Linked DNA regions of Elephas maximus indicus. The protein of the gene in region 1 purifies or fractionates together with the protein of each later gene. This does not show direct contact. Links are inferred from orthologs where the notes say so. Each region holds a gene or a part of one and is shown on either strand. Other genes may lie near its edges. The genes, in order: EIF3B, EIF3D, EIF4B and EIF3F.

Region 1 (7,461 bases):
CAAAAGTCGTTCAGGACCATTGCTCAGATCCTTTACTTCATTAGCACTACGAAATGCTGGTTTTCCAACCTTATTGCTCCTTCCAGAATAATTGGTTAGAATTCTTTTATAAAACAAAAACTTTCCCTCACCAACTATTGCTTACCCTGAAACGTAAGGGCAAGATAAGAAAGGCAAGATAAATTTTTTTGCTTGCATTTTTATTTACTTTTAGAATGAGATGTTCCAACAATATCCAACCATGATGAACAAGAGTTTTTTCCCCCCAGCATTATGAACTCACAGACTCCAACATTTTATATTTCAATCAATTGCAGTATAAAAATACTTTTTAAGGCACAAATTGCCTCAGTGGGGGGTCTTCTGACACTGACTGGAATCCTCCCCCCACCAACATTTTATTATAAAAATTTTCAACCACACAGAAAAGTTTAATTTTATAGTCAACATACAAACACCCCACCTAGATCCTATAATTAACTTTTTCTGTGAAAAACACCACCAATTTCACTCACTTTCATCAATTACTGCTTTCAGTTTCGTGTGCATCCTTCCAGGTCTTTTTCTACATATTTTACATTTTTATCTATATTACCCATGTAATATCTATAACATAACTTTGTGCATTTTTCTTAATCGGTATTCTGCTGTATATATCAATATGCAACCTAATCTTTATGAAACTTAACAGTATGTTTTAGGAACTACACAAGTTATCATATATAAATCCATTTTATTAGTTGCCCATTGCTGTACAACAAATTACCCCAAAATTTAGGGTTTAAAATAAAAAACATTTATAATCTTGTGGTTTCTGCAAGTGAGAAATTTGCAAGTGGCCTAGGTGGGTATTTCTGGCCCAAGATTTCTCATGAGGTTGCAGTCATCTAATGGCTTAACCAGGACTGCAGGATCTGTTTCCAAGGTAGCTCTTTCACACACCTGGCAATTTGGTGTTGACTGTTGGTTGGCTGCCTCAGTTCCTCCACATGTGGGCTTCTCCACAGACTGTTTGAGTGCCCTCAGAACATGCTGGCCAGCTTCCTTCATTGCCAGTGATCCGAGAGACAGCCAGCCAGCCAGCTAGAAGCTTGTCGTTTTTATGACCTAGACTTGGAAGTCACTTAGCATCACTTTTGCCACATTCTGTTCATTAGAAGCTGGTCACTGTCTATCCACATTAAAAGCAGAATTAGGCTTTACCTTTTGAAGGGAGGAGTGTCAAAAATTTCATGAATTTATCACAGATGTGGAGTCCCTGAATGGTGCAAACGGTTAACAAGCTCAGCTGCTAACCAGAAGGTTGGCGGTTGGAGTCCAGCCACCTGAAGGCCCCTCTGAATAAAGGCGTGGTGATCTACTTTGAAAGATCAGTCTGATACACATAGCGTCACCCTGAGTTGGAGTCGCCTTGACAATTATTTTTTTTAAATCACAGGCATATTTTTGCACTTCTGTGATGCTTTAATTAATGAACGTTGCTCCCATTACAGAGCTGTACTTCTAACACAGCACACTTTACCCACCACTGCATAACCAACACAGAGCAGGCGCTTACATAATTTGAATAGCAATTGCAGTGCTTTTCACTTTTGAGGGTGGTGCAACTGCTGATGGTCTTGATGCTCTCTCTAGTGCACTAAACCTGCCATCGTCGAGTCGATTCTAGTTCATAGCAACCCTATAGGACAGAGTAGAACTGTCTCATAGGGCTCCCAAGGCTATTTTTTTTTTTTTTTTGCACTTTAAGTGAAAGTTTACAAATCAAGTCAGTTTCTCACACAAAAACCCATGTACACCTTGCTACATACTCCCAATTGCTCTCCCCCTAATGAGACAACCCACTTGCTCCCTCTACTCCCTATTTTCGTGTCCGTTTAGCCAGCTTCTAACCCCCTCTACCCTCTCACCTCCCCTCCAGGGAGGAGATGCCAAAATAGTCTCAAGTGTCCACCTGATCCAAGAAGCTCACTCCTTACCAGCATCCCTCTCCAACCCTCCAGTCCAATCCCTGTCTGAAGAGTTGGCTTTGGGAATGGTTCCTATCTTGGGCCAACAGAAGGTCTGGGGGCCATGACCATTGGGGTCCTTCTAGTCTCAGTCAGACCATTAAGTCTGGTCTTTTTATGAGAATTTGGGGTCTGCATCCCACTGCTCTCCTGCTCCCTTGGGTTCTCTGTTGTGCTCCCTGTCAGGGGAGTCATCGGTTGTAGCCAGGCACCATTTAGCTCTTCTGGTCTCTGGCTGATGTAGCCAATGGTTTACGTGGCCCTTTCTGTCTCTTGGGCTAGTAATCACCTTGTGCCCTTGGTGTTCTTCATTCTGCTTTGATCCAGGTGGGTTGAGACCAATTGATGCACGCATCTTAGGTGGCCGCTTGCTAGTGTTTAAGACCCCAGACGCAAGGCTATAATCTTGATGAAAGTGGACTGGCACATCTTTCTTCCTCGGACGGCTGGTGGGTTCAAACCGCCAACCTTTCAGTTAGCAGCCAAGCGCTTAAACACTGCACCGCCAGGGCTCCTTTCCAGAATTCTCCCATTGGCAATGAGTCGACTCTAACTCATACTGACCCTACAGGACAGAGAAGAACTGCCTCCATGGGGTTTCCAAGGAGTGGCTGGTGGATTGAAACTGCCGACCTTTTGGTTAGCAGCTGTGGCGCTAAACTACTATGCCACCAGGGCTCCTCTAGAACACTACCCAAATCCTACCTGTTGCCATTGAGTCGATTCTGATTCATAGTGACTCTGTAGGACAGAGAAGAACTGCTCATTGGGTTTCCAAGGAGCAGTTGGTGGGTTCAAACTCCTGAACTTTTGGTTAGCAGCCTAGCTCTTAACCACCAGACCACCAGGACTCCCCTCTAGAATACTAAGAGATAATAAATACTTTTTATTGCATCATGACAGTGTTCATAACTTTCCCTGCAGAAAAGAAAATGACAAATTCACTCACTGGAAGAGTCATGAGTTGCTACTCTGCTACAAGGAGTCCCTGGGTGGTGCAAACTTATCAACACGCTCTGCTGCTAAAGGAAAGGTTTGAGGTTCAAGTCCACCCAGAGGTGCCTCGGAAGAAAGGCCTGACGATCTACTTCCAAAATATCAATCACTGCAAACCTTATGGAGCCCAGTTCTACTATGACCCACATGGGGTTGCCAGGAGTCAGAATCAACTTAATGAAAACTGACTTTTTTTCTAGTTCTGCAATAGAAGCATGCCATAGAAGTCTTTCCTATCTGAGAAACACCTAGGTGCCAAACTATAAACTACAACCTCCTTGTTCACTGGTTTATCACCTTTTAGCACTTTCTAGAAGAAAACGGTTGGCAATGATTTAAGAAAACTGCAAACGAAACTAGAAATTTAGAAGATTCTTTTGGTCTTTAGTGAAACTCATTCACCTTCTGCAGGAGTACAGCTCGAAAAGGTTCCAAGAGCCACTCACCCCTCACTTTGCAGGTGAGGAAACTGAGGCACAGAGGCTCAGAGATTCTCCCAAGGTTACAGTTGACAGGAGGAGGAATCGAACCCAGTATTACGCAACTGCACAACTCTTGTATGATGAAAACATCAGTGGTTGGCCTCGAGTCTGTGGATAAATACCTGAGCCACCCTTGTCGCAAACTCCGCCCCTCCTGTCTCCACGTCGTTGCTCAGACCTTCTGCGTCTTCCTCCCGCCTCACGTGTCTCTTGACTTCTCTGGCCACACCCCCCTGAACCACGTGACCCGCTCCCGGGTCGGAGAGCGATAGTTTCTTGCGGACCGAACCATCGTGAAAGCCAGAATGGGTAAAGAGCAGTGTTACGGCCGCTACAAGTGCAGCTGGGCGTAAGCGAGTAAAGCAACTCTCAAATTTTTGTATTGGGCCGGGAAATATTCTTTCTGGTAGTTTTGGCTGCTTCTTGTTAACACCATATTTTATTTCATTTTGGAATCGTCGGCTCTTTTGCCCAGTCAGTAGGCGAAACTAAAAACCAGTATGTAAAGGGGAGTTTCGTAATATAAGCTAAATGGTTTGTCCGGTTAAAAGCTAGGCTATCACACCAAATCGTTGGTTGAACTTATGGCTTTCTCTAGTATTAATTTTTGAGTCAAACTATATTTACACATAATTCCGCATAGAAAGATCATTTCTGAGACCTCCCTTCGGCGCCACAAGTAGTTCCGTCCTTCACCGAAGCGCTTGATGGGAGCAGGAAGGGCTGGCTGCCATATTGGGTGAAACCAATCCGCTACCACAAACGGGGGTGGTTATAGCTCCTAATGAGTTTACCTAATGAGGAAGAAAACTTAGTGGATTGGAATTGAATAGTTACTTGATGTAAAAATGTTATTCAGACAGTTGATAGGCACACTTCCGAGCTTGGGTGGTTCCCAGCACGTCAGGCGGGGTCAAGGCATGGAAGCCCCCCCCGCAGTGGGCGCGGTGGTGCGGACCTGCCCGGGTCGATCGCACATGGTTAGAGAGTAGGCGCCGGCGAACGCGCGGTGCGGCCTGGGAGAGTCGGAAGCGCGGCGGCTGCGGACCCTGAGGTGAGGGAGGCTGCGCCTGGGCCCATGCAGGACGCGGAGAACGTGGCGGCGCCCGGAGCGGCCGAGGAGCAGACCGAGCCGGGGGCGCAGCAGCCCGCCGCCGAGCCGCCGCCGGAGGAGGAGCCGCTGCGGCCCGCGGGGCCAGGGGCTCCGGGGGCGGCGGACTCGGTGACCGAGGCCAAGAAGGAGGCGGTGGTGGCGGCCGAGCCCGAGCTTAAAGCGAAGGCAGAGCCGGCGGCCGCGGAGAAGGAGACGGAGTCAGCGGGCGCGGTCCCCAGCTATCCGGCGGGTTCGTCCCAGTCCCCCTTGCCGCCGTCCGGGGAGGAGCCCCAGTCCCCGGTTCGGGAGGAGTCCCGAGCCGAGGCCGCCGAGAGTCGGCCACAGGAGTCGTCGAAAGAGGCGGGTGAGGACAAGGGGGACTCGGCGGAGGCAGAGCCACGCGCGTTGGAGAACGGTGACGCGGACGAACCCTCCTTCAGCGACCCCGAGGACTTCGTGGACGACGTGAGCGAGGAAGGTGCGTCCCCGGCCCGCTGTCCTTCCCTGACCTGTGGCCGACGTAGAGAAAGGAGGCTTTTTAACCGAGAAGGGTCAGGGAGCTAGTGTTGGAGATTGACTTTAGATGACAAGTTTCGGTGACATGTGATGTGCCTGTGCCCAAGTTCCAGGCTCTGTAGAAATGCGAGGGAGGTGGCACTGTCTCCCAACTGTTGCCACCAGTGCGTAGTGGAATTTTTCTAGGAGAGCCTACTATCGCTTTCTTTGGGGTTAAGAATATGTCAGAATGATACAGGGGTCCCTAAAGAAGGGAACCTATTATTTGCATTACAGCCAAAAATCCAGGATCGCGGTGGTGGGCGGCTGTCAGACTGTACCTACACAGGAGGCTATGTCAGTGCACACTGATGTGTAGCCATTGGGGGCAGAGCCAAGTAGGACTCTCCTGGATTGGTCTCCTGGACTGACTTCCCATGGTCCAAGGGCAAGACCTCAGGGTTGCTGGTCCAGGTGTCCTAGGGCTGACACAGGTTTTGACTTGTAGAGGTGGCTGCGGATATTTCCCCGCAGGACTGGGAAGTGCAGGTTGTGGCAGAGCTGGATTGGTGTGTCCCTGTTCCACTGGTTTTCTGACTGGAGATTTCCTGCGCAGGATAGTGCAAGGCAGACCTTGCCAAATTCCCGTTGTGGTTACTTTTTTTCCTAAATGTGTCAGGCAAGCCACCGTTCTTGTGTTGGGAGGTTATTTCTCAAATTTGAACCAAAGCAGCTGCTCTGCAGGAAAAAGGCTTGGTGATCTGCTACCTCAAAGATTACAGGTGAAGGAGGGAGGGAGAGGGGTATTCACCAATTAGATAGGAGACAGGAACTATTTTAGGTGTAGGGAAAGACAGCACACAATACGGGAGAGGTCAGCACACCTGGACTAAACCAAAAGCAAAGAAGTTTCCTGAATAAACTGAATGCTTCGAAGGCCAGCATAGCGGGGCGGGGGTTTGGGGACCATGGTTTCAGGGGACATCTAGGTCAATTGGCATCATAAAGTCTACTAAGAAAACATTCTGCACCCCACTTTGGAGAGTGGCATCTGGGGTCTTAAACGCTAGCAGGCGGCCATCTAAGATGCATCAATTGGTCTCAACCCACCTGGAGCAAAGGAGAATGAAGGACACCAAAGACACAAGGTAATTATGACCCCCAGAGACAGAAAGGGCCACATAAACCAGAGACTACATGAGCCTGAGACTAGAAGAACTAGATGGTGCCCACTACAGCGAATGACTTGCCCTGACGGGGAACACAACAGAGAACCCCTGAAGGAGCAGCAGAGCAGTGGGATGCAGAACCCAAATTCTTGTAAAAAGACCAGACTTAATGGTTTGACTGAGACTAGAAGGACCCCGGAGGTCATGCTCACCAGACCTTCTGTTGGCCCAAGACAGGAACCATTCCCAAAGCTAACTCTTCAGTTACGGATCGGACTGGACTATGGGATAGAAAATGATACTGGTGAGGAGTGAGCTTCTTGGATCAGGTAGACACATGAGACTGTGTGGGCAGCTCCTGTCAGGAGGGGAGATGAGAAGGCAGAGGGGAACAGAAGCTGGCTGAATGGACATGGAGATAGTCAAGAGAAGGAGTGTGTTGTCTCATTGGGAGAACGACTAGGAGTATGTATCGAGGTATATATCAATTTTTGTATGAGAGACTGACTTGATTTGTAAAATTTCGCTGAAAGCACAATAAAAATTAAAAAAAAAAATTACAGCCTAGAAAACCCTATGGGGCAATTCTGCTGTCACATGGAGTCGCTGTGAGTTGAAATGGACTCAGCGGCTCCCAACAACAAGCAGCTATAGCTTGCTTTCCGGTGGTTTCTACCTTGATCAGGTTTACAGGCTTTATTTCTGCTGCCTGAGAGTTGTTGATAGCTGATTACATTAGTTTTTGGTTTGCTCTTTTTTTTTTTTTGCCGTTTTAACTCTCCAAGCTCACCAATGGATCCCTCTACGTGTTGACTAGTTTATGGTAAAGTAGTGGCTGTAGAAGTAGCCACTGATACATACACCAAGAAAACTAGATGTTAGCACATTAACATACATAGATTTTTTTGTGTGGTATTGTGCTGGCAATCACATAGATTGAGTCAGAATTACATAGATTCCTAACAAGTGAAAGGAAGAGGAAAATTTAGGACGCTGGCATAGAGTTGTCAACTCTTCATTTAAGTGTTTTCTTAAAGGGCTACTGTCACCGTTTATTTTGTTATGCTTTTTTTCACAAGGTAAAAGACATTCTACCTCAAAAAGCAGGAAAGACATGACAAACTAGTGAAGGCATGGGAGCTGCTTATCAAGTCCAAACCCTTTACCCAAAGGTTACGTGTCCTGAGGTGGAGTAGATTGCTGAGAATTCACAGTGG
Region 2 (6,967 bases), on another chromosome or scaffold:
AGAAACCCCTGAAAAAGTTACAGGAGGAAACAGTGTGATAAAGTCTCAGAAGAACTGGATCACAATGCCTTTGTAAGTACGCAGCTCTCCTGTGACTACTTCCAGAGGTCAGAGCCTTTCTCAGCTGGTATCACTATAAGGAACGCAGGGGTTATGCTTTTGAGAGAATAAAATGCAAACAGGAACTCCTGGGGAGTAACAGCCACAGCTTGAAAGACGCAGAGTCCTGCTGACAGGCAAGTACCTTTCCTAGCCGGTCTCCTTTGCTGAACGGCTGGTAGGGCATATCCCGAAACTGCTCGGGAACTGCACACGGGCCCCAGCCTGAGGGATTATCTTGGATCACGGGTGTCATGAACTTCGCCATCTTCTAAAACCTTAAAGACACAAATAAGGTGAGTAGCTGCGGGAAGAAAGGCCTCACAGTACAAAAAGTCCTCCATTTGAGGTAGGCCCAGACAGAAATGATAAAAATTCAAAAAGCAACACACAAAATGCAACTCTGAACTACTGAGCTACTGACGAGATGCTTTCTTATAAGTGACACTGTGAATAAAGCTCATTAGATTGATAACCAAATTGATTCACTGTATTTCATTAGTTCTGTGACACTTTTTCAGCTGTGACATCTTTGAAATGAAGCTACAACTTATGTTTGATGGTGTACCACAGCTTAATTGGCAGTTTTTCTCGGCGTTACATAAGATAATGGTGCTTCTTAACATCAGTGTGTCTCACAAATTTGATGAAATCTGGTAACCCTTCTGCAACTGTAATAACCACATTCTGTTCTTAGAAGCCCCTTAACCCAGGCATACGATTCCTCCCTAAGCCCCCGTCTCCCCATCTGTAAAATAAATAGAATCCTTGCTTTATCTTGTACTACGAGATCACCGTGGAAGTCCTGGTCAACACACATGAAAATGCCTCCTTTGTAAAATGCCACATAATTACTACCCAGCCTTGCAAAATACATTTATGCCCAAAGAGTGGTGAGAAAAAAGAATCCGTAAGTTATGTCAGAAAATTTGACTTTCCTTTCTTGTTCTTCCAATTTTCTATCACCAATGCAAATCCTGTGTGCAGAGCAAGTGGACATAGCCAGGCAAAGGCCTGCCAGAAGGCTGATGTCACCATAAACCTTAGGCCAAAAGCTACCATACATCAAATATTATGGATACCAGGTACTGTTTTCAGTGCTAACCATATATGAATTCGCTAAATCCTCCCAACAATCCTGTGAGGTGGGGACCAGTATTATTTCCACTTTCAGATAATAAAACTGAGGCACAGTGAAGTTAAGAAATTACCCAAAGTCTCAATGGTAGTTGATAAGGAATTTGAATCCAGGCAGTCTGGCTCCAGAGTCCACTCTCTGCACAACGCTTTAACTCCTCTCAGGAGTATATGAGCCTGGGGTTCCAACGCAGATGCTTGCCTGACAGTCCCTACCAAAAATTATGTGTTTACCATCCATTTCAGCACTCTGAAAGTGCTCACAACCTTCGTTCCCTGAGAAAAACTCATGACACAAGCATTTCCTGGAAGCTGAAGAGCAAATCGAAAAGCAGAGATATACTGAACTCAGTAAACTCTCCTCATTGTCCAAAATGGGGAGATTGAGGCTTCCTACAGAGATGACACTAGAATGATAGCAACAGGGAATGAACCTAGGAGCTTCATCCTCCAACTCTGAACTTAAGCTATGCTAGCAAAGAGGACAGAGGGAAGGGGCGGTAATCTCAACAATTCACATTCAATAAATATCTATTGAGCTGTATGTACGAGGCGGAAACCCTGGTAGCATAGTGGTTAAGAGCTACAGCTGCTAACCCAAAGGTCAGCAGTTTGAATCCACCAGGTGCTCCTCGGAAACCGTGTGGGGCAGTTCTATTTTGCCCAATAGGGTCGCTATGAGTCCGAATCGACTCGATGGCAACGGGTTCGGGTTTTGGATGGACGAGGCATCATACTAGATACTTTAACACCACTACCTCCCTCCCGATTTTAGAGATAAAAATCTGAACCTCAGCCACATCAAGCGGTTGACCTGTCCATGGTTTCTGAACTGATTCGATTTACAGGGCAGTCTGCCGTAAGTCCGACACTCTCTTCATCCCATTAGAGCTGGGCGGCAGTCTGAAAAACTCTGGGACTTTCAGACCATACTTAACAACGCAATAAGAATGTCTGCAAATACACTGTTCTTTCAGTTTAGTCGTTCTGTAAGAAGCTCAAGAAGGAAACCGGCCCAAGGCTTGACATGCACTTTTCCAGCCCAAGTAAAACAGAGCGAGCAGAATGGAACCAGTAGGGGAAATGGAGTCGTTCGGGGAAAATGGACAGTGACAGCTGTACTGGCCACAGTGTTGTGTAGATATTGTCGAGGCCATCGCAGATCGCACCCATCAACCCCTGGGCGAAGAGAGACTTCCGATCAGGTCAATTCTCCATCCTAACCTCTCATGTCAAAGAAAAGGAAAAGAAACATTTGAGCTGCGCATTCCTCAGGGCAGGGGTCGAACATCGCTCAGCTTACCACCCTCAATAACCCACTCGTAGAAAAAACTCAGGAAGCCTCCAGCCACTTTAGAAACACCTTGAGACCCAGCTGAGTTAAGTGACAACCAAATACGCTTAAACCGTGGCCAAGAAGCGAGCTTAAAGCCAGAGACTTCACCAACTGGGCCGGATCCCGCACCCCAAGGGGTGCTGGGCTCGGAGCCTCCAAAAGTGGCTCTCTGCCCCGCCCGGCTGAGGAACCGCGGCAGCAGGAGGGCACGTACAGGAGGTCTCTTCCGGGAGGCCCCTGAAGGCAGGATCCAGCCCAACCGGCTCCGGAAGCCCTCAGGACCCCACACAACACGCCGCTCACCTGCAACGGCCTCGGCCCTCCCCGATGGCGGGAGATGGTCGGGGCAAGAAACGCGAGTCACCAGAAGCACTCGGAGAACAGGGAAAAGGGAGAACATGCGCGCGCAGCAGCCGGCGCCGTAAACACGACCGGCGCTGTCGTAAACTGCTCGCCAGCTTCTTCCGAGTTCGGTGGTAAGACGCACGAGCCGTAAAGCTAAGGTAACCCGGAAAGTCGTTACTGCTCTTTGCGAGGTGTGAGCCGAAGCCTCCCAGACTTCAAGACGCAAGAGGTGTGATTATAGTTACGTCAGGCAGCACTGAAACGTAGCGGCCGTGCAATCGAGGCTGGGGGCCGGGAGAGGCTGAGATCCACTCAGTATCCCAGAATGCTTCACGGGACCCTTCCGCCCCTCTGTATCCCACAATGACCCGCGGCTCCCCCGCTCTCTTTAACCAATCATGTCATTTGATTCTTACAGCAAGGGGTGGGGCGAGTGTTTTAGGCCCGGTTCGTAATTATCACCGGTTTCCTTTTTACAGTAATTAGCACCCGTTTCCTTTTTACAGTAGCGGAAGCTGACGTGTAAAATGACCTGCTTAGTTTAGAGTGCTAGTTTAGGAGTGTCTACCAGTGTCCAAATCCTACTTAAAAACTATTCAAACTTGACTGTACGGCAAAGATTACTGGAGCTCTACTTTAAAAGAATGCAGATTACGAATCTCGCTCCCACAGATAGTTATTCAAATCTGCCTAAAGAGGAGTCCAGGAATTTGCATTTAAATTGGCAACTGTGCTTCTGAAGTGGGGGGACTCAGAACCACTTTGCTACGTTGGGCAACAATGCTGTCCTCTCTGCAACTCTCGGCGTAGGGATTTTCTCCTGGAGTCTTTACCGGAGAAATTTCAAAACTTTGATCAGAAGGAGCACCAGAAAATCGAACCTGTTGTGGACGAGTCAATTCCGGTGTGATTTACTCAGTCAGATCCTTTTCTACTTGGTCTCCTAGGTTTCCTTCGTCTCCCAGCCTGTCTCCTTTATTGGAAAATACATCTATTATTAGACAAATCTGGGATCTAGTTTGGACTCTGCCATTTTCTGGCGGAGTGGTGTCACCTCTCTGGCCCTCAGTTTCCATATCTGGCAGTGTCAGAGCTTCTCTGCTAGCCAAAAGGTCAGCAATTCGAATCCACCGGCCCCTCCTTGGAAACCCTTTGGAGCAGTTCTACTCTGCCCTGTAGGGGCGCTATGAGTAGGAAACGACTCCAGGGCAACAGGTTTTTTTTTTTGTGTGTGTGATTGTAAAAATAAAGAATGTATGTTATAACAAAGAAGCCCTTTGCCATAGAGCCGATTCCGACTCATTGCGACCCTATAGGACAAGAGTAGAACTGCCCTGTAGGGTTTCCAAGGGGGGCTGGTGGATTCCAACTGCTGACCTGCTGGTTAGCAGACAAACCCTTTAACCATTGCACCACCAGGGTTCCGTGTATGTTAAAGTACTTAGTAATTCCTTTTAAATTCCGTTTAAAGTACTTAGTAATTCCGTGTTTACCCATGTCCATGGATGAACACGGACAGATTATTCAACCTCTTTAAACCTACTTACTCATCTGTAAAATGAGAATGTTAATAGCACCTTCTTCCATAAGATCTCTTTCAATTGGCTCATTTTTCAGTTTTCCTTAAAAATTTTTTTTAACAACAATGAAAACACGTCCACCTCAGCAGGGCCTCTGCACTTGTGTTCCTTCTGCATGACACACTCTTCTCCCACATCTACTCATAGTTGGCTTGGTCCCATCATCCAAATCTCTGCTGAAGAGTTATCTCCTCAAAGAGGTCTTCCTAAAATAGTTCCTTCTCTCTCCATCCCTCCTTGCCTTCTTACCCTGCTTTGTTTTTTTCATAGTTCTCATCACTACCTGGAATATTATTTGTTTCTTTGTGTAGAGTTTGTCTCCCCCTCTAGAGTGTAAGCTCCATGAAGATAGGAGCTTTGTCTACCTAGAACATTACATATTTGTTGACGTGTTGAATGAATGGATAGAGGTTTTGTGAGAATTACATGAAAAAATGAATTCAGCACATTACTCTAGCACATAGATAAGCAGTCAATAAATGTTATTGTTGTGTGCTATGGAGTTGATTCTGACTCATGGTAACCCTATAGGACAGAGTAGAACTGCCTCATATGGTTTCCAAGGCTATAATCTTTATGGGAGCAGGTCTTTTCTCCCATGGAACCACTAGGTGGGTTCAAACCACCAACCTTTTGGTTAGCAGCTGAATGCTTAACCATTGCACCGCAGTGGCTCCTTCAGTAAATGTTCCCAAAACCCAGTGCTGTCAAGTCAATTCTGACTGATAGCGACCCTATAGGACAGAGTAGAGCTGCCCCATAGAGTTTCCAAGGAGCACCTGGAGGATTCAAACTGCTGACCCTTTGGCTGGCAACTGTAGCACTTAACCACTACGCCACCAGGGTTTCCGTCAATAAATGTTAGTGTAATTAATATCCATAATAAATTGTCCTTGTTCTAAACCATAAGGGAAAATGTATTTTTGCTGAACTGCTTTGATCATGGACTCACAGGCCATCTGCTGCATCCTCCCTCCATGACTCATGTCAGAGAACTGAATCATCTTTCCCAGATTTCGGCCTAGACATCCTTGCCCACCCAGATGGAGATGGATTTGGACTGTCCAGTCTCATTCCTAATAGTGGGTCCCTGGGCTTAGGTGGGAGATCTTGCTTCCATTCCTCCTCCCAACTGACACCCCTGTTGCCATTTTCCTGCTATCTGCTGTCCATTCTCCATGCAGCAGCAGAATGCCCCTGCTTTACACTAAGTCAGCACATGCTCACCCCACCCCTACCCTTAAAACCCTTTAGATGCTTACCGTTACCCTGAGGATAAAATCCTAAACTCCATTCCATAGTCTGCCAGTTGCTGTCATGTTGATCCTGACTCTCGGTGACCCCACGTGTGTCAGAATAGAACTGTGCTCTATAGGGTTTGCGATGGCTGATTTTTCGGTCGTAGGTCACAAGGGCTTTCTTCTAAGGCACCTCTGGGTGAACTCCAACCTCCAACCTTTAGGTTAGCAGCCTAGCTTTTAACCGTTGACACCACCCAGGGAGTCCCCTGAGGGGGAAGGAATGGCAGAATCCAGGAGCTGAAATGAATGTGGGTAGACCGGAAAAGACTAGTGCCAACTCAAAGAAGATGACCAAAGCAACGCAAGAGGGAAGGAGCATCTTTGCCCCGGTAGACTGCAGGCTATGAGAGGGTGGAGGTGCTCAGGTGGGGCAGAGAAGGTAGAGTAGAGGGAACTTGTGGACATGAAGGGAGGCCTATAAAAGGCCAAAAAGCACCCAAAATAGGAGGGTGGAACTGAGCAGGGGATGGTGGCGGGGGGAGGTGCCAATGACAGTTGTTCCCAGACTGGAGGAGGAGAGAAGAGCAATTTTGGAGATGGCCATTTTGTTAGACTTCTGACACAAAAAAAGGCATGAGGGAGTGGGGGGTGTGGGACACCAAGAAATAGACAAAGGAACTGGAAACGCTGACCAGAAAAGAGTCCCAAGAAGGCACAGTAGCATTAACAGAGTAGTGAGCTCCCTGGCACTGGGGACATCCAAGAGAAGGTGATGGCAACCAGCCAGAGGTGTGACAAGGAGATTCCTCTCCAGAGTGAATGCTGGACTGGATGGCCAAGAGGTTCCCTTCCCATCCCAGCATGCGAGAACTCATCCTTCCCTCCTTGGAAGGGCACGTGTGGGAACAAAAAAGGCTGTTCCTGACGCAGGGCTATTTCCCCAGCAGGACACCCCCCCCCGCCCCCCACCAGGTCTACCCTGGTCAAAAACCCACTGCCGTTGAGTCGATTTCTGACTCATAGTGACCCTATAGAACAGAGTAGAACTGCCCCATAGAGTTTCCAAGGAGTGCCTGGTGGATTTGAACTGCTGACATCTTGGTTTGCAGCCATAGCACTCAACCACTACGCCACCAGGGTTTTCCTACCCTGGCCAGCTCCCTCTAATCCTCCAGTCTTGGCTCAGGTGTCACCTCCTCTTCCATCACCTCCACTTCCACAGAAAGTCT
Region 3 (7,383 bases), on another chromosome or scaffold:
TCTATGAGTCAGATTTTTTTTTTTACTCTCTGTATTTGTCTTTGAATTTCCGTAAGGCGTTTTTAGTTTTGGCCTTCTGAATCTAGGTATCCTAGCCTCAGAATAACAAATATATGGTAGAGAATGGGATTTGAAAACAGGTAATAATGCAAACATAATCCAATGGCAATCTCTGAAACTATTTCTCTTTGGATAATCACAGGATAATGCACATATGAAGGATATCATAGGTTAATCAAAGGGAAAATAACTATGAGGGTCAGCACCATATGAAAACAATGGATACCATCCTCTCCCCATAAAAAAAAAAATCAAACAAAATGCCATATTCAATAGCATTTAAGTGTTATGCAAAATGAAAGGGTTGCACATAGGTATGCACACACTTTTGCCAACTTTAGTTTCAAAAAGTGCTAACATGTATCAAACACGTTTGATTCTCTATACCTAAAGTGAGCAGATAAACTATGTTCATTTTATAGATGAGGAAACTGGGACCCAAGAGGTAAATGGTCTGTAACAAATTTACAAAAGTTAAAACAAAATGAAAACCTCAGTTTCAGGGGAGTATTCTTAAGAAGCCAAACAAGGAATCAAGTGGCCTGTCTCAATGTATCAAGTTTCCTAAAAATCCAAGATACCTCCATTTAATAGTAAGCCCTGAAATACTTCCAGTTCTTGAAGTCAACGACGGGTCACACTGGAAATGTGTATTGCTGCGAAGAATTTTCAGTCTCAAAAGAGGCTGATGAAGTTGTATCATGTATTTCCACAGAGGAAATACAAGATCTACTTCCAGCAAAACACTGGTCACCATCAGGAAACACTGAAAATACACTGAGAATTTTACAGCCTCTTTAGTACAGCCAGATCTGGTATTACTGGTTACCCAACAGTCAATTACAGTGTAAAAGATTAAAGGGGAAAAGAAATCTGATAAACCTAAAACTCCCCGAGGACAGACTGTCAGATGTATCCCTGAGCACAGATTCCAGCATAGTGCCCCTTGCACAGACTAAACAAGCTAAATAAGTATCCACTGAATTAAGGAAGTGTTTCCAAGGGGGTAAACTAAACATGGAAAACAGGAGAAGGGGACATCACTGAGCATACCCCTTTAACCAGCCTGGATTTCACTGAACTCATGTGTAAAATGAAGGACACAGATTATATAATTGCTAACAGGTCTTCTACCTGTAATAATTTCACAAAAGTTATGGATAAGGAGAATACTGGCTTTTCACTAAATTATGAGACAGTTAACTGTCAAGATGGCAAACCCAGGCCAAATCGGTATTTGACACAATGATAAGCTTAAAATAAATTTAGGACTGTACCAGTTCAGAGAGAAAAAAAAAAGTACAATTTTTTAAACTTCAGATGAAGCTTTTGGACAGCACACCAAAAAAGGAAGTCAACCTTGGTACTCCCAAGTAGGTGATGGTAATGAGTCAACAGTCTTAGATTTCAGCCTTGCTCTGCCACCTGCAAGCAGTGTGACCTTGAACAAATCATTTCATTGTCCTCGGCTGAGGCATACCACCATCTATCTCACAGAGGACCAAACGAGACAACACACACAGAATTGCTTGGTCAATTGGCAAGTCTACACCAATGAACAGCAATGAAAGATATCATGTTCAACTGCACCTCAACTACCTCGACATTTTCTAAAGATAAGCATAACCCTTAGCCTCGTTTATAAATAATAAAGAAGGTAAAATTCCTGGTGAGAAGTGAGTGTCCAGAGATAGCAGGGGCTCAGTGAATGTTTTGTGGAATGCAGGGTGATGCCAGGGTGAAAAAATTATATTCGTCAAACTAAAATCAATGCTACAAGATGTTGCACAGCTTACTGCTGCACTTCCAAGTCTATCAGAAAGATCTGCATGACAGTGATAACGCCCCCTCAAAAAACAACTCAACTCATTTTAATTGTATCCCTAGTAGTTCTACATCTATAAAAAAAAAAAAAAACTGAACTCTACCACCGGAACTATCAAAAACTCAACGCGAATAGAAGCTTCATAAGAGCAGGGACCTAATCTCGTTCACCACTATCTCCAGTGCCTACCACGGTGCCTTGCACAACGTTTTCGCTCAGTAAAAATTTGACAAGAAAAAAGGCACAGAAGAAAATCTAAGTCCTTAGCCCTGGTTCCGCTCCAACACGTGGGTACACCAGAGTTCCCTACCCCCACCTAACTTTAGTAGCTTCAACCTCCAACCTGACACATGTACCTTTAAGAGTACAAAGCTGGGCCACACTCTTAGAGGAAAAGAGCAGAAAGTGGAAGGACATAAAAAGGGGCAACAGAGGCGCGTAAAGCCTTCCCATTTAGGCACTCGCGCATGCTTTTGAGGAGCGCCTGTCTCCACTACCCTCGTCCCTCCCACCGCGCACGCGCACCACTGCCTCACCCCCGCCCCTCCACTGACACGCGCTCGCGTTCTAACTGCCCCCCCTTTATCCCCCTGCCCCCGCTCCAGTCCGCAACGGCCTCGCGCCTTGGAGACCTAGTCTAGTGTGCGCCGGTCCGCGCGCCAACCGCTCCTTCCTTCCTCCACGTCTTCAAGCGGGCACAGTGTATCACGTCCATGAAAACATCTCGCGCCTCTCGCAGATCCTTCTGCGCCTCCTCGCTCCAACTCAAGCCAGAGCCCACCTTTACCCCCGACTCGAGCCTCGCGCAGACCGGGTGAAAAGGCTGTGAGGGGGAGGGGAAGGGCACCTTCCCCTCCCCCCTAAACATCCCGAGACAATAATGTAAGATGGCCAAGCCACCAGCCTGCCGCAGCCCCCAAATCCTAAGGGAAGCAGTGCCGCCCACCTCCCGATTCCAGGTAGTCAGTGGATCAGGTTGGTAGAGTGGTTTAGGAGCCCGGTCTTTCGCCGCGCTCGGCCGCTCACTCACCTGAGGCCGCCATGTTGGGAGAGGGAGAGAGAACGCAAAGGACCCGGATGAGGCAATCACGTGATTATAGCGGGCGCGTCGGCCTAGGAGACGCGAAACTGGGAGGGGGCGGGGAGGTAAGGAGGGAGACCGGAGGCGGGGCGGCGCTGCTCCAGGTTCGTAAAGCAGCGCGAGGAGGTGGGGCTGCGTCCGACGGGAAGACCTGCGCGACATGAGGCCGGAGGGGTGGGGCTTGGGCTGTCGCGAAATTCCTTACGCTTTACGTAGGACTACGCGCGGACGAGAGGCGGGTTCTCATGGTCCGCAGACTTCCTGCGGGTGCGTTAGGCGGAACAGGCGTGTTCGTATTTGCTGGCTGCACTAATAGGGATAGAATCAAGGCGGGCTAGAACCTAGAATGGGTGTGCCGTAATTGATTTTCTGGGACGGATACTTTTTGTAAAAGCGAAACAAGTTCACAATCCTGCCTAAAAATGCTGTAAATAAACGTGCTTAAAAGAAATTAGGTTAATAAATACTGAACATTATTTGCCATGGATTTTTACCTTGTTTAATCCTCACAATTTTCTGATTAGGTTTAGTCAAACCCGGTTTTCTATGATTTCATAGCCGAGTGCTACCCATGTTTTCGCTAGCTAATGCTCCATTTTGTCATATATTAATATTTCAGTCCATGACAATTTTTGTTGAGCACCTACTCTGTGCCAGGCATTGTTAAAGACATTTGCAGGTACAAGAGAGAACAAAACTGACCAGATCCCTACCCTCAAGTAGGTTATATTCCAGAGAGGGAAAGACAGACAATAAGCAAATTAATAAATAAAGTATTAGAAATGATAAGGACTCTGGAGGTAATTAAAATAAGTGATGTAATAAAAATGACTGAGTGGGTGCAACTCTAGAATGTGGCTAGATAAGACCTCCTGAGAAGCGACATTTAAGCAGAGATCTGAATCACAAGCAGCTTAGCCCTGCGAACGTATTCAGGGAGAGTTTTAGGGGAAGGAGAGGATGTGCAGTTACATCAAAGGCCAGGGTAGGAACACCTTGCCAATTTGATGAATTTAAAGGCTAGTAGCATCCCAACGATCATGGAGATGGACGTGCAACTATTTGTTTTGATATCTGTAAGGTTATGAGTCAGAGCCAACTCGAAGGCAGCTAACAAAAACAGTAAGAGAGTGGTACGAGATGAAGTTTGAGAGATAGGCAGGAGTTGGGTCAAGTGCGGCTTTGTAAACCAGGAGGTGGTTGGGAAAGCATGGAATGATTTTTTTTTTTTTTAATTAAGGTAAAACACATGTAACATAAAGTTTGCCATTTTAACCATTTTTAAGTACAATTCAGTGGCATTAATTATATTCATAATGCTGTGCAACCATCACTGCTATTTCCAAAGCTTTTTCATCATCCCAAACAGAAACTCTGTATCCATTAAGCAATAACTCCTCCTTCACCCCTCAGCTTCCCCAGTCCCTGGCAACTACTAATCTACTTTCTGTCTCTATGCATTTGTCGATTCTAGTTATTTTATATTTGTCCTTTTGTGCCTGGCTTATTTCACTTAGCATAATATCTTCAAGATTCATCCATGTCGTAGCATATATCAGAACTTCATTTCTTCATAACTGAATAATATTCCTTTTTGTTTGTTTTGTTTATCAAGCACGGAATGATTTTAAGCAGGAGAAAGCCACGACTTGAAATAATTTTTTAAAAAAGATTATTTAGTACCTTCATATGGGTAGCGGTTATATGAATGTATAACTGTAAAAATGCATCAGATTGTACACTTAAGATTTTTGGACCTTAGTGTATGGAAGTCATACTTTAATTAAAAAAAGAAAAAAGAGAATACTGAGGTTGCTGAATGGAGAGTAGATTAGACAGATGGAATAATGAAAGAGAAAGACCCTAGAAGTATTGTGGGTCTTAGGCATTACGCCTAATGAATAAGTTGGCCCTTAGTGGATAAATTGCTGTGAGAGAAGATGGTGGTTTAGATGTGAATGTGGAGATGGAAAAGGATGGATGCAGATATATTTCGGAAGTAGACTTGATGATTGATTAGATGTGAGAGTCAAGGGAGAGGGAGCTATCAAAGTTAACTTCCAAGTTTTTGGCATGAACTCTGTCTTAGTTATCTGGTGCTGCTCTAACAGAAATACCACAAGTGGGAGGCTTTAACAAAGAGAAATTTATTCTCTCACAGTCTGTGAAGCTAGAAGTCCAAATTCAGGGTGCCAGCTCCAGGGAAAGGCTTTCTCTTTCTATCGGCTCTGGGCGAAGGTCCTTGTCATCAATCTTCCCTTGGTCTAGGAGCTTCTCAGTGCAGGGACCCCAGGTCTGAAGGATGCTGTCCCCTCCTGGTTCTTCATTATTGGTGGCCTGAGGTCCTCCACTCTCTCTGCTCAATTCTCTCTTTTATATTTCAAAAGAAGTTGACACAAGACATAACCTAATCTTGTAGATTGAGTCCTGTCTCCTTAACATAACTGCCGCTAATCCTGCCTCATTAACATCATAGAGATAAGGTTTACAACACATAGGAAAATGACATCAGGTGACAAAATTATGGTCAATCACACTATTCTGGGAATCATAGCCTAGCTAAGTTGACACACATTTTGGGGGGAAATAATTCAATCCATAACAACCTGGGTGATGCTGTTTACTCACATGGTGAAGCCTATCATGGAGCAGGTTTAGAGGGGGTATGTGGGCTCTATTTTGGCCATGTGAAGTTTGAAATAGGTGGCACAAATGGTTAAGTGCTTGGCTACTAACCTAAAGGTTGGCAGTTCAAATCCACCCAGGAGTGCCTCACAAGAAAGGCCTGGTGATCTACTTCCAAAACATCACAGCCATTGAAAACCCTATGGAGCACAATTCTACTCTGACATACATGGGGTTGTGACAAGTTGGAACTGTATGGACAGCAACTAGTTTGCTCAAACTTTAATGTGCTTATAAATCACCTGAGGAATGTGTTAAAAGTCACATTCCAATTCAGCAGGGCTGAGGTGATGAGGCCTGAGATTCTATATTTCTAACAAGCTTCCAGGTGATGCAGATGGTGCCAGTCTGAGGACCACAGTTTGAATAGCAGAGTACTGGACAACCGTAGGGGCCCTGGTGGCACAGTGGTTAAAAGCTCGGCTGCTAACCAAAAGATTGGCAGTTTGAATCCACCAGTTGCTCCTTGGAAACCCTATGGGGCAGTTCTGCTCTATCCTATAAGGTCGCTATGAGTCGGAATCGACTCGACGGCAAAGGGTTTTGGTTTGGGGACAACCATGTGGTGATGTCAAGTAGGTGATCTGGAGTTCCTGAAAGAGACCAAGTCTGGAAATAGGAATTCGGGAGCCATCTTAGTTACCTGGAGCCCTGGTGATGCACTGGTTAAGAGCTCAGCTGCTAACCAAAAGGTCGGCAGTTCGAATCTACCAGCTGCTCCTTGGAAACCCAATGGGGCGGTTCTGCTCTGTCCTGTAGAGTCACTATGAGTCGGAATTGGCTCAGCGGCAAAGGGTTCGATTTTGGTTTGATCTCAGTTACCTAGTCCTGCTATAACAGAAATACCATAGTCGGTGACTTTAACAAACAGAAATTTTATTCTCTCACAGTTTAGGAGGCTAGAAGTCTGAATTCAGAGCATCATGGGGGAAGGTCCTTGTCTCTTTTCAACTTCTGTTTCTTGGCTCCGTGGTGATCTTTATGTGGCAGGGCATCTATCTTCCCCCATCTCTGCTTGCTTCTCTGTGCCTAATCTGTTCTTTTTATATCTCAAAGGTGATTGGCTTAAAACACACCCTAAACTGATATGCCCTCTTAACACAGCAAAGAAAACACAGCCCCTTATAATCACAGATATAAAAAAGAAACCAAACCCGTTGCTCTCTAGTCCTCCAACTCATAGGGACACTATAGGACAGAGTAGAACTGCCCTATATGATGTCCAAGACTATAATCTTTACAGATGCAGACTGCCACATTTTCCTCCCGTGGACGGGCTGGTGGATTCAAACCGCCGACCTTTTGGTTAGCAGCCGAGCGCTTAACCACTGTTCAACCAGGGCTCCTCAGCCACAGCTATAGGGGTTAGGATTTACAACACATATTTTGGGAGGACACATAATAGGAGTCATCAGCATATAAATGGCATGATATTTCAAGCAATCTATATAACCTATACAAAATAATTTGAGAAGCTGGACTGTGTGAAGAACGCAGCATTAGGGCTGGTGGAAGAGTCATTCACAACCTGCAGTGTGCAGATGACACAACCTTGCTTTATGAAAATGAAGAGCACTTGAAATACTTACTGATGAAGATCAAAGACCACAGCCTTCAGTATGGATTACACCTTAACATAAAAACAAAAACCCTCACAACTGGACCAATAAGCAACATCATGATAAATGGAGAAAAGATTGAAGTTGTCAAGAATTTCATTTTACTTGGATCC
Region 4 (7,952 bases), on another chromosome or scaffold:
ACCTCTCTCTCTGAAGACCCTAGCTCTCTTCTACAATTGCAGTCCAGACTGGGAAATTTGTCTAGAGAGGAAAAGAAACTCCAAAGAAAATGGACCACTTTTGCCTTTGCACCATATCTTTAAGTTGTTGAAACTACTGGAGGATGCCCTCCACCAGAACAAAAGAAGGAGGAAGACTCAAGATCCATGAAATAGGAATCCAAACAAGGAAAAAACAGTCCTAGAAGGCAGCTCGTCTAGAGAGCTGAGAGCTCTGAAGTCTCTGACAGGGAATGGATTTCTCCAGAAAGAATATCTCCAAGGGGGAAAAAAAGAAAAGGATTCATAGATCAACTATTATGATTGACCCGAAAAATTGTACTAGAGCTATTGGAAGACTGTGGGAAAAACTGGCAATAAGTGCCAATGAAGTGGGAAAATATTGCTTGAACATCCAGATGGTAGAAAAGTTAATGTTTACGGGAACTGATGAAACCCCTGTGAGCTATAGCACGCCTTGCGATTCTTTTCTGATTGTTCTCTCTCAGCACTGTATAGGCTTAAGATTAACCTGCGTGTTCTCTCTCAACATGAAAAACAAGTGATAGGATCTGGGAACCGAGGAGTCAGAAGACAGTGATGTTAGAAGACCAAACTTCAATGACTCCAGAAGGGACCCTAAGAATACCTGGAAAAGATCATCACGTCTGGAAGGTGATTTGCAAGACCACCTCAAAGGGGAATTAAAAATTCTCCAGATTCCTTGGACTTAGCTTTTCTTTCCCTATAAAACCGCCCAGCTGTCTCTTTCGAGACAGACAGAATTTAGGAGTAAACTATCCCCTCTGTTTCTTGGATACCGGTATTCAGTAAAGCCCTCTTGCTGTTGACCTCCCTCCTGTCTCAGTATTGGCTTTGCAGCAGGCCGCTCGAATCTGTGATTTATGGTAACACCAACAAAACTAGACAAATGGAACTAAAATAAGGAATTACTAACTCTGAGAAAAGCAAAACGAAAGGAAACATAATAGTAAATGACAATACTCAGGTGTGAATAATGTTTACATAGGAATAATGATGTAACCACTGAGTATCAATCTAACTAAAATGGTAACATAACCATATTGAAAGGATGGTGATGGAAGAGTTAAATGCTTGTGGGCTGGAATAGGCAGTCCCTAGATAACACCTAAAACTGGTTAATCAAAAGGTAGCAGTATACATACACTGTTTAGAAATGGAAAGATGTAAGAAAAGAAATCTAAAGTAGATTTCTGAGAAGTCACCCTCAGGGAAGAGGGACTAGTGGGTAGTGGGAAAGGTTGGAGCAGGGAATTACTCTCTGTGTCACCTTTATTGGATCTCTTTCCACAGCATTCAAATATATTCTACTCCCTCCCATGTTCAAACAAAGGAAACCTTCTCTTGACCCTGCATTTCTCATGTCACCTCATTCCCTCTCTACTGCCATGCTTTGGCAAGATTTGTCTATACGTGTTACCTCTACTTCCTTAGCCGCATTCTTTCTTTGTTGAACTTTTATTTTATCAAACATGCTTAGAGTTTTAAAAGTCAATTAGCATTAAAAAGCATGGGGAAGCTAAGCATGACCACCATTTCTAAGTCAAAATCTTCCAAAAAGCCTGAAATGACCTCACTGCCACCCCAATCCCGTCAGAAAAAAAATCAAGCAAACTTTCTCAGGAGGAAAGCTTCCCCAAATTAGGCCCCAACAGCTATTGTCGAAAGAGCCCTGGTGGCGAAGTGGTTAAGCATTTGGCTGCTAACCTAAAGGTAGGGAGTTTGAACCCACCAACTGCTCCGCAGGAGAAAGATGTAGTAGCCTGCCTCTGTGAAGGTTATAGTCTTGGAAACCCTTTGGGGCAGTTCTGCACTGTAGAACTGACTATAAGGTCACTATAAGTCAGAATCGACTGGACGGCAATAGGTTTGTTTGTTTTTCTCGCTTGCTACAGACTTGAGATAGCCTGGGGCTCTCCCTTGTTGTCCTCCCTTAATCTGAGCTGTAGCTCCAGCTCCTTTCACTTCAGTTAGTGATCTAGAGGATGGGATAAGTTTATCAAGCTACAGGCCGCAGTCTTATCATGAGGCAGGCAGTATGACCCTGGTCTTTTCAGGCAGAACCATTAAGCGTGTACCCAAGCAACCAGAAACCTAGAGCAATCCCTGTACAACACATTCTATATAAAAGGGGGATAGTCCATTGTTCTCTCTCCCCACTCCTTCCACCCTTTACCTGAAAAATTTGAGGCTCCCAAGCTTTCAGTTCACAGGGAGCAGCCTTCCTGGATCCCTCACTCAGCCATTGGAAAGCCAGTAGCCTGTGTCTACACACTCCCTGATCCTTGCCAATTGTCTCCTGTGGAAAGACAATGCCAATGATCTCCTCCTGCCCCTGGGCTACATGGCTGCTGGAAAGAAATCACGAAAGTCGGCCAGCTGGTCCTTGTACAACTTGAGCTCTCCAGGCTCAGCAGCCCTCCCATAATCGTCAATGCCTTGTATGGCTTTTAATGGCTCACCCTCAGCCCGTCTTCCAAACACTGCCCATTCCTCCAAGCCTAAACCCTGCTCTGGCATTGCCATTCTCAATAGATCACCTTGCTTCCACTTCCCTGGGAGGGGGGGGATGGCATTTGAGAGGAGCCCCCCACTACTTCTCTGCTCTCCCCAGCTCAAAATTTATCTGATTCTTCATCATCTCCTTCCCCCTCCAGAGAGAAAGGTCCTATGGTCATTGATATAAAGGCAAAAGTGAGTTCTTGAAGGTGAAGTATCCACATCCAAGTCAAATGAACTCGTTGACAGGCGGTCCCACGGGTGTGAGTGCTCAGTTTGGGGCAGTAACACCTCATTTGGGCTGGTTGTCTCCTCTGGCCTTGACCCATGAGATGATGTCAGGGAACCAGCCCTGGCCTAGGTAGATCCCCTCCCCCCCCACCCCCCCACCCCCCCACCCCCCGCCACTAGGCACCATAAGAGAGGCCAACAGGCCAGGGCAGCCTCTCCTGCATGCCCCTCATCCTTTGTAAAGCCATCCCACTCATCAAGGCTTCTCAATCCAGGCCCTCCTTCCTCCCTTATTTCATTAGATATTGCCGCTGACTCTTATATATTCAATCTTTCTCTTTCTTTCAGATCTTTACCTGCAATTTAAAGTACACTTAAAACTCTTCTGGCCTCAATTGTCCCCTCTCAACCCTGCTGTTCCTTAAATGTCTCTTTTTCTTCCCAGGCAACTTCCTTGAAAAGATAGCCAGCACACACACCCTTCACCTCAAACTCACCATTCTTTCACACCTGAATTCTGGTTTATATGTCCCCCTCCCACCCAATTCCACTGACCAGTTTTCTACTGGGGTTGCTAAAGACATCAGGTTATCAAAAACAAAAGCCACTTTTCAGTCCACCTCTGGTGGGCTATTAACCTGTGTTTTGGGGAATTCAGAGAAGGAATGTGTGTTGACACAGAGCATGACAGAAGCAGGTATAACAATTCTAATTACGGATGGTAACCTCAAGGGGAAAGCGAGTCTTGGGCATAAAAGTCAGAGGTAGGAAATCCAACCTCATCCACCCACCTTGCCAGCTGGATTAGCTGGGACTTAACCTAACTTAGGAGTTTACAGGTTTCGGTATAGACAGATGTTCCAAACCAAACCGGTTAACATCGAGTCGATTCCGACTCACAGCGACCCTACAGGACCAAGCAGAACTGCCCCATAGGATTTCCAAGAATGGGCTGGTGGATTCAAGCTGCTGACTTTTTGGTTAGCAGCCGAGCTATCATCCCCATTATACCAGAAAGGAACTGAGGCTCTGAAAAAAAAAAAAAATTGAAGCTTGTCCAAAGTCACACAGAAAGCTAGGACCAGGGTTCCTCCCCATAGTTATAGTAATGATAATAAAACCCCAAACCAAATCTGTAGCCATCGAGTCAACTCTGACTCATAGTGACCCTACAGGACAAAGTAGACATGCCTGTCATGGATTGAATTATGACCCCCCAAAAATGTGTGTATCAACTTGGTTAGGCCATGATTCCCAGTATTGTGTGGTTGTCCTCCACTTTGTGATTGTAATTTTATGTTGAGAGGATTAGGGTGGGATTGTAATACCAGCCTTAATCAGGTCACCTCCCTGATCCAAGGTAAAGGGAGTTTCCCTGGGGTGTGGCCCCTTTTATCTCTCAAGAGATAAAAAGAAAGGGAAGCAAGCAGAGAGCTGGGGACCTCATATTACCAAGAAAGCAGCAACAGGAGCAGGGCACATCCTTTGGACATGGGGTCCCTGTGCCTGAGAAGCTCCTTGACCAGGAGAAGATTGATGACAAGAAATCTTCCTCTGGAGCCGACAGAGTGAGAAAGCTGACCCCTAAGGGCACCTAACAACAACTGCATTAGTTATTTATCTTCCTTTTTGAGTTTTTTTTTCCATGCTAGAATGTAAGCTATTCAAGGATCTTTGTCCACTGATAAATCCAAAGCCCCTAAAAGAGCGTTTGAAACATAGTAGGCACTCAAATTGTTGAAAGAATGAACCACCCTATTGACACTTTATGATCTGGTCAAGAACAAAGCCCTATTAATGGAACTTTGACATCCATTTTCCCATTTAAGAATGAAAACACGAACTGCGACCTTGCGCTGCTCTCTGGCTCCACCTGGCGGCACATGGGCAAACTGAGTGGAGTTATTTTTAATCTCCCAGCGCGGTCTTAAATTTACCCGGAACTATTTACCGTGGTTCTTATGACGTGCTCATCGGACCGAAAGCAGTCACACAAACTCCGGAAGAAATTACAAACAGAGCAGGAAATTTTCGTGCCCCGAGAAGCACCATCAGTAACCAATAGGTGGAAAGATACAGTTCACGTGGTGCATATTTAGCCTATCAAAGTCGTAAAATTCACTAAGTCACTCCTTTCCGCTCTTGGCTTCTTCTCTTTCGACAAGATGGCCACACCGCCTTCACCAACGAGTGCTCCTCCCGCCACTCCATCCCCAGCACCGGCTACGGAGTCGGCTCCAGCCCCAGCCCCAGCCCCAAGTCCAGCCGCTGCTCCGGCTCCGGCTCCGGCTCCCGCTTCCGCACCGGTCCCGGCTCCTGCTTCTGCCCCCGCCTCATCCTCAGACCCGGCGTCAGCAGCGGCTACAACCTCGGCCTCGGCGCAGAGCTCGGCCTCAGTGCAAGCCCCAGCGCAGACCTCGGCGCCGCCGCCGCCGCCTGGTCCAGCTCTCCCAGGGCCCTTCCCCGGCGGCCGCGTGGTCCGGCTACACCCGGTCATTTTAGCCTCCATCGTGGACAGCTATGAGCGACGCAATGAGGGCGCTGCCCGAGTAATCGGGACCCTGCTGGGTGAGTGGTGAGATAATACCGACGTTCTTTTTTCCTACCGCCCACCTCCCATGTATCGCTCCCCCTTCTCATAACCCTTTCGTCTCTGGCGTCCTGCTGCCCCCTCCTCCCACCCCCACTTTTTGCTTGTTTCTGCATCTCACATATAATAGATAGTTATTATTTACTGATAAATATTGGGTACCAAGTGATTTACATTTTATTTCCAACACCATTTCACGTCAAGTATGATAACCTCCATTCTACCAAAAGTGAGCTTATATGCTCATATGCCGACTGGCAAGTGATTAAGTTGGAACTAGGACTCTTGATTCCCTAAGCACAGTGACCAAGTTTCCCTCCTTTACCACTGACTGGAGCCCTGGTGACGCAGTGGTTAAACGTTCGTTAAACCAAAAGATCAGCAGTTCGAATCCACCAGCCGCTCCTTGGAAACCCAGTGGGCAATTCTCTGTTCTGTAGGGTCGTTATAAATCGGAACCGACTTAATAACAACGGCTTTTTTTTTTTTTAATCCACTGTCTAAATGTCTCTATTTTCCAAATTTTTACAAAGAAGTTTCTAACCAGCTGGCCAAGGAGTGGAGGCATCTATAAAAAGATACTCTTCCTAACAAGTAAACCAGTTTGGCTGGAGCCTGTTGAAGGTTTTATAGTATTCTGTCTTCCTAAACCCTGAGTCTGCCTCAACACCATCTCTGATATGATAAACCGTTTTCCCAATGCTGTCTCTGATTCTCTATTTGGATAAAAACCATTGTATTAATCTGTTTATGATTGACTCTGACCTTCAAATCAAAGAATAGTCTTTTCCCTGCCCGTGTTCCAAGTTTGGAGAATAGATGTTTTATGTTAAAGTCATTTTAAAACTTAAAATCACTGAAGATGTATTGTTAATAATAAATGTCTTTCTTTGGGGACTACTGGTCCCACGAGATTGATTTTCACTCCATTTTATCGCAGGCTTTAGACATCTTTGCGGACCCACTCCAGTCCCGTGCATCATTTCTCTTTCTTACTCTTGAAAATGTAGTAGTCCTTACACCTTAGAAGACAATACATTGTCTTCTAAGGTGTGAGGACAAGATTTGTATGCAGACACCACCAAATGTTAGCCATGTGCCTTGAGGCAAATTACCCAAAGTTAGTTCTTTTGAGGGCTACTTTAGACTTAGTGTTTGTGAGAACTAAGTTATTACAGAAAGCATCTAACTCAGTTCTGGTATACATTAGATGCAAAACAGCTTTACCAAATCAGGCCTGAACTCATTGCCAGCGAGTCCATTCCAACTCATAGCAACCCTGTAGAATAGTAGAACTGCCCCATAGAGTTTCCAAGGCTGTGGAAGCAGACTGCCACATTTTTCTCCCGTAGGGTGGGTGGTGGGTTCAAACCACCCACTGCACCACCAAAGCACACACACACAAGTTCTCCTTTTTATCTTTGTGGGTGTAGCACTTGGTATTTACAGAAACTAAACAATTGGCTTCCAAACATAGCTATGGCTTTTCTCAAACCAAGCCTTTACGTTTATATTCTCCTTGTCAGAAATGCCATCCCTGCTGTGCCTCAGTTGTTTTTTAAAGTTGTACCCATCTGCCAGGTTCCCAGGGCAAATGTCCAGTACCAGTCCTCCACCTCATACCACATCCTCAGCCCATTCTTAACCTCTCTAACCATGAGCACATTCTTTGACTGTGCCCTGCTTTGAGGTCCTGTAACAAATGATTTTTGCATCACTGATTTGGTAGTCAACAAACACTGACTTACTCCTTCAGCTACACTGTCAAGGTTTCTGAACTTTGTGGAACTATTTAACCAAAGTTTATGCTTAAAAAAAAAAATTGCCGTCAAGTTGATTCTGACTCATAGCAACCCTATAGGGCAGAGTAGAACTGCCCCACAGAGTTTCTAAGGCTGAAATCTTTGTGGAAGCAGACTGCCACATGTTTCTTCCATGGAGTAGCTGGTGGATTCGAACCTTTTGGTTAGCAGCCAAGTGCTTTCACTGTTGCATCACCAGGGCTTCCTGGTTTATGCTTAGTGCCCCAAATATCACAGCAATCCTCTGGAAGGTCCCCTTCCAGATGGAGATCGCGGTATAGCACAAAGTGTTATAGGGGCAGTGCTTATACAAGGACAAAGCATAGATCCTGCCTGTAAGAAACTTGGAATTTTCCCAGGTACACGTTCATTCAAGAAACATATTTCATTTGTTTAAGTGAAGTTACGAGTGCCTTTTGAGTACTGGAAACTGTTAGATACTTAGAATTCAAAGTTTGAGAAAATGAGCTGTACTCTAACCTTAAACTTAAGATGGACAAATAGTCTTATATACAAATAATAAGAATGTAACGTGATGAGTGATCTGATAGAAGGGTGTTCGAAGTGCTGTGGAAGTACAGGAGACTATCTTGGAAGGTTGGGAAAGGATTTACAGAAAAGATGGATTTTGAGCTGGGCATTCCAGCAAATATAAGAAGTGTGAAACACTAGAGTGTTAAGAGCCATCACACAAATAGCTTTATGCACACCTGTGTTTATTGCAGTATTATTTGCAATAGATGGAATAATGTTCCCAAAAAGATGGAAAC

What was found.
Region 2: the proteins of EIF3B (region 1) and EIF3D purify together in Homo sapiens (affinity purification with mass spectrometry; 10 studies listed by BioGRID and IntAct, with this or other methods). This does not show direct contact. The link is inferred for Elephas maximus indicus from reciprocal best matches to the Homo sapiens genes EIF3B and EIF3D.
Region 3: the proteins of EIF3B (region 1) and EIF4B purify together in Homo sapiens (affinity purification with mass spectrometry; 3 studies listed by BioGRID and IntAct, with this or other methods). This does not show direct contact. The link is inferred for Elephas maximus indicus from reciprocal best matches to the Homo sapiens genes EIF3B and EIF4B.
Region 4: the proteins of EIF3B (region 1) and EIF3F purify together in Homo sapiens (affinity purification with mass spectrometry; 14 studies listed by BioGRID and IntAct, counting the BioPlex papers as one, with this or other methods). This does not show direct contact. The link is inferred for Elephas maximus indicus from reciprocal best matches to the Homo sapiens genes EIF3B and EIF3F.

Annotation. Positions count from the first base shown.
Region 1 is NC_064830.1:96,692,089-96,699,549, forward strand, and holds the start of EIF3B (eukaryotic translation initiation factor 3 subunit B), read left to right. Parts: upstream 1-4,444; 5' UTR 4,445-4,565; coding exon 4,566-5,058; intron 5,059-7,461.
Region 2 is NC_064822.1:180,151,258-180,158,224, forward strand, and holds the start of EIF3D (eukaryotic translation initiation factor 3 subunit D), read right to left. Parts: upstream 3,012-6,967; 5' UTR 2,876-3,011; intron 378-2,875; 5' UTR 368-377; coding exon 245-367; intron 1-244. UniProt on the Homo sapiens protein: mRNA cap-binding component of the eukaryotic translation initiation factor 3 (eIF-3) complex, a complex required for several steps in the initiation of protein synthesis of a specialized repertoire of mRNAs.
Region 3 is NC_064822.1:108,528,825-108,536,207, reverse strand, and holds the start of EIF4B (eukaryotic translation initiation factor 4B), read right to left. Parts: upstream 3,011-7,383; 5' UTR 2,929-3,010; coding exon 2,916-2,928; intron 1-2,915. UniProt on the Homo sapiens protein: Required for the binding of mRNA to ribosomes. Functions in close association with EIF4-F and EIF4-A. Binds near the 5'-terminal cap of mRNA in presence of EIF-4F and ATP.
Region 4 is NC_064825.1:63,220,071-63,228,022, forward strand, and holds the start of EIF3F (eukaryotic translation initiation factor 3 subunit F), read left to right. Parts: upstream 1-4,937; 5' UTR 4,938-4,955; coding exon 4,956-5,358; intron 5,359-7,952. UniProt on the Homo sapiens protein: Component of the eukaryotic translation initiation factor 3 (eIF-3) complex, which is required for several steps in the initiation of protein synthesis.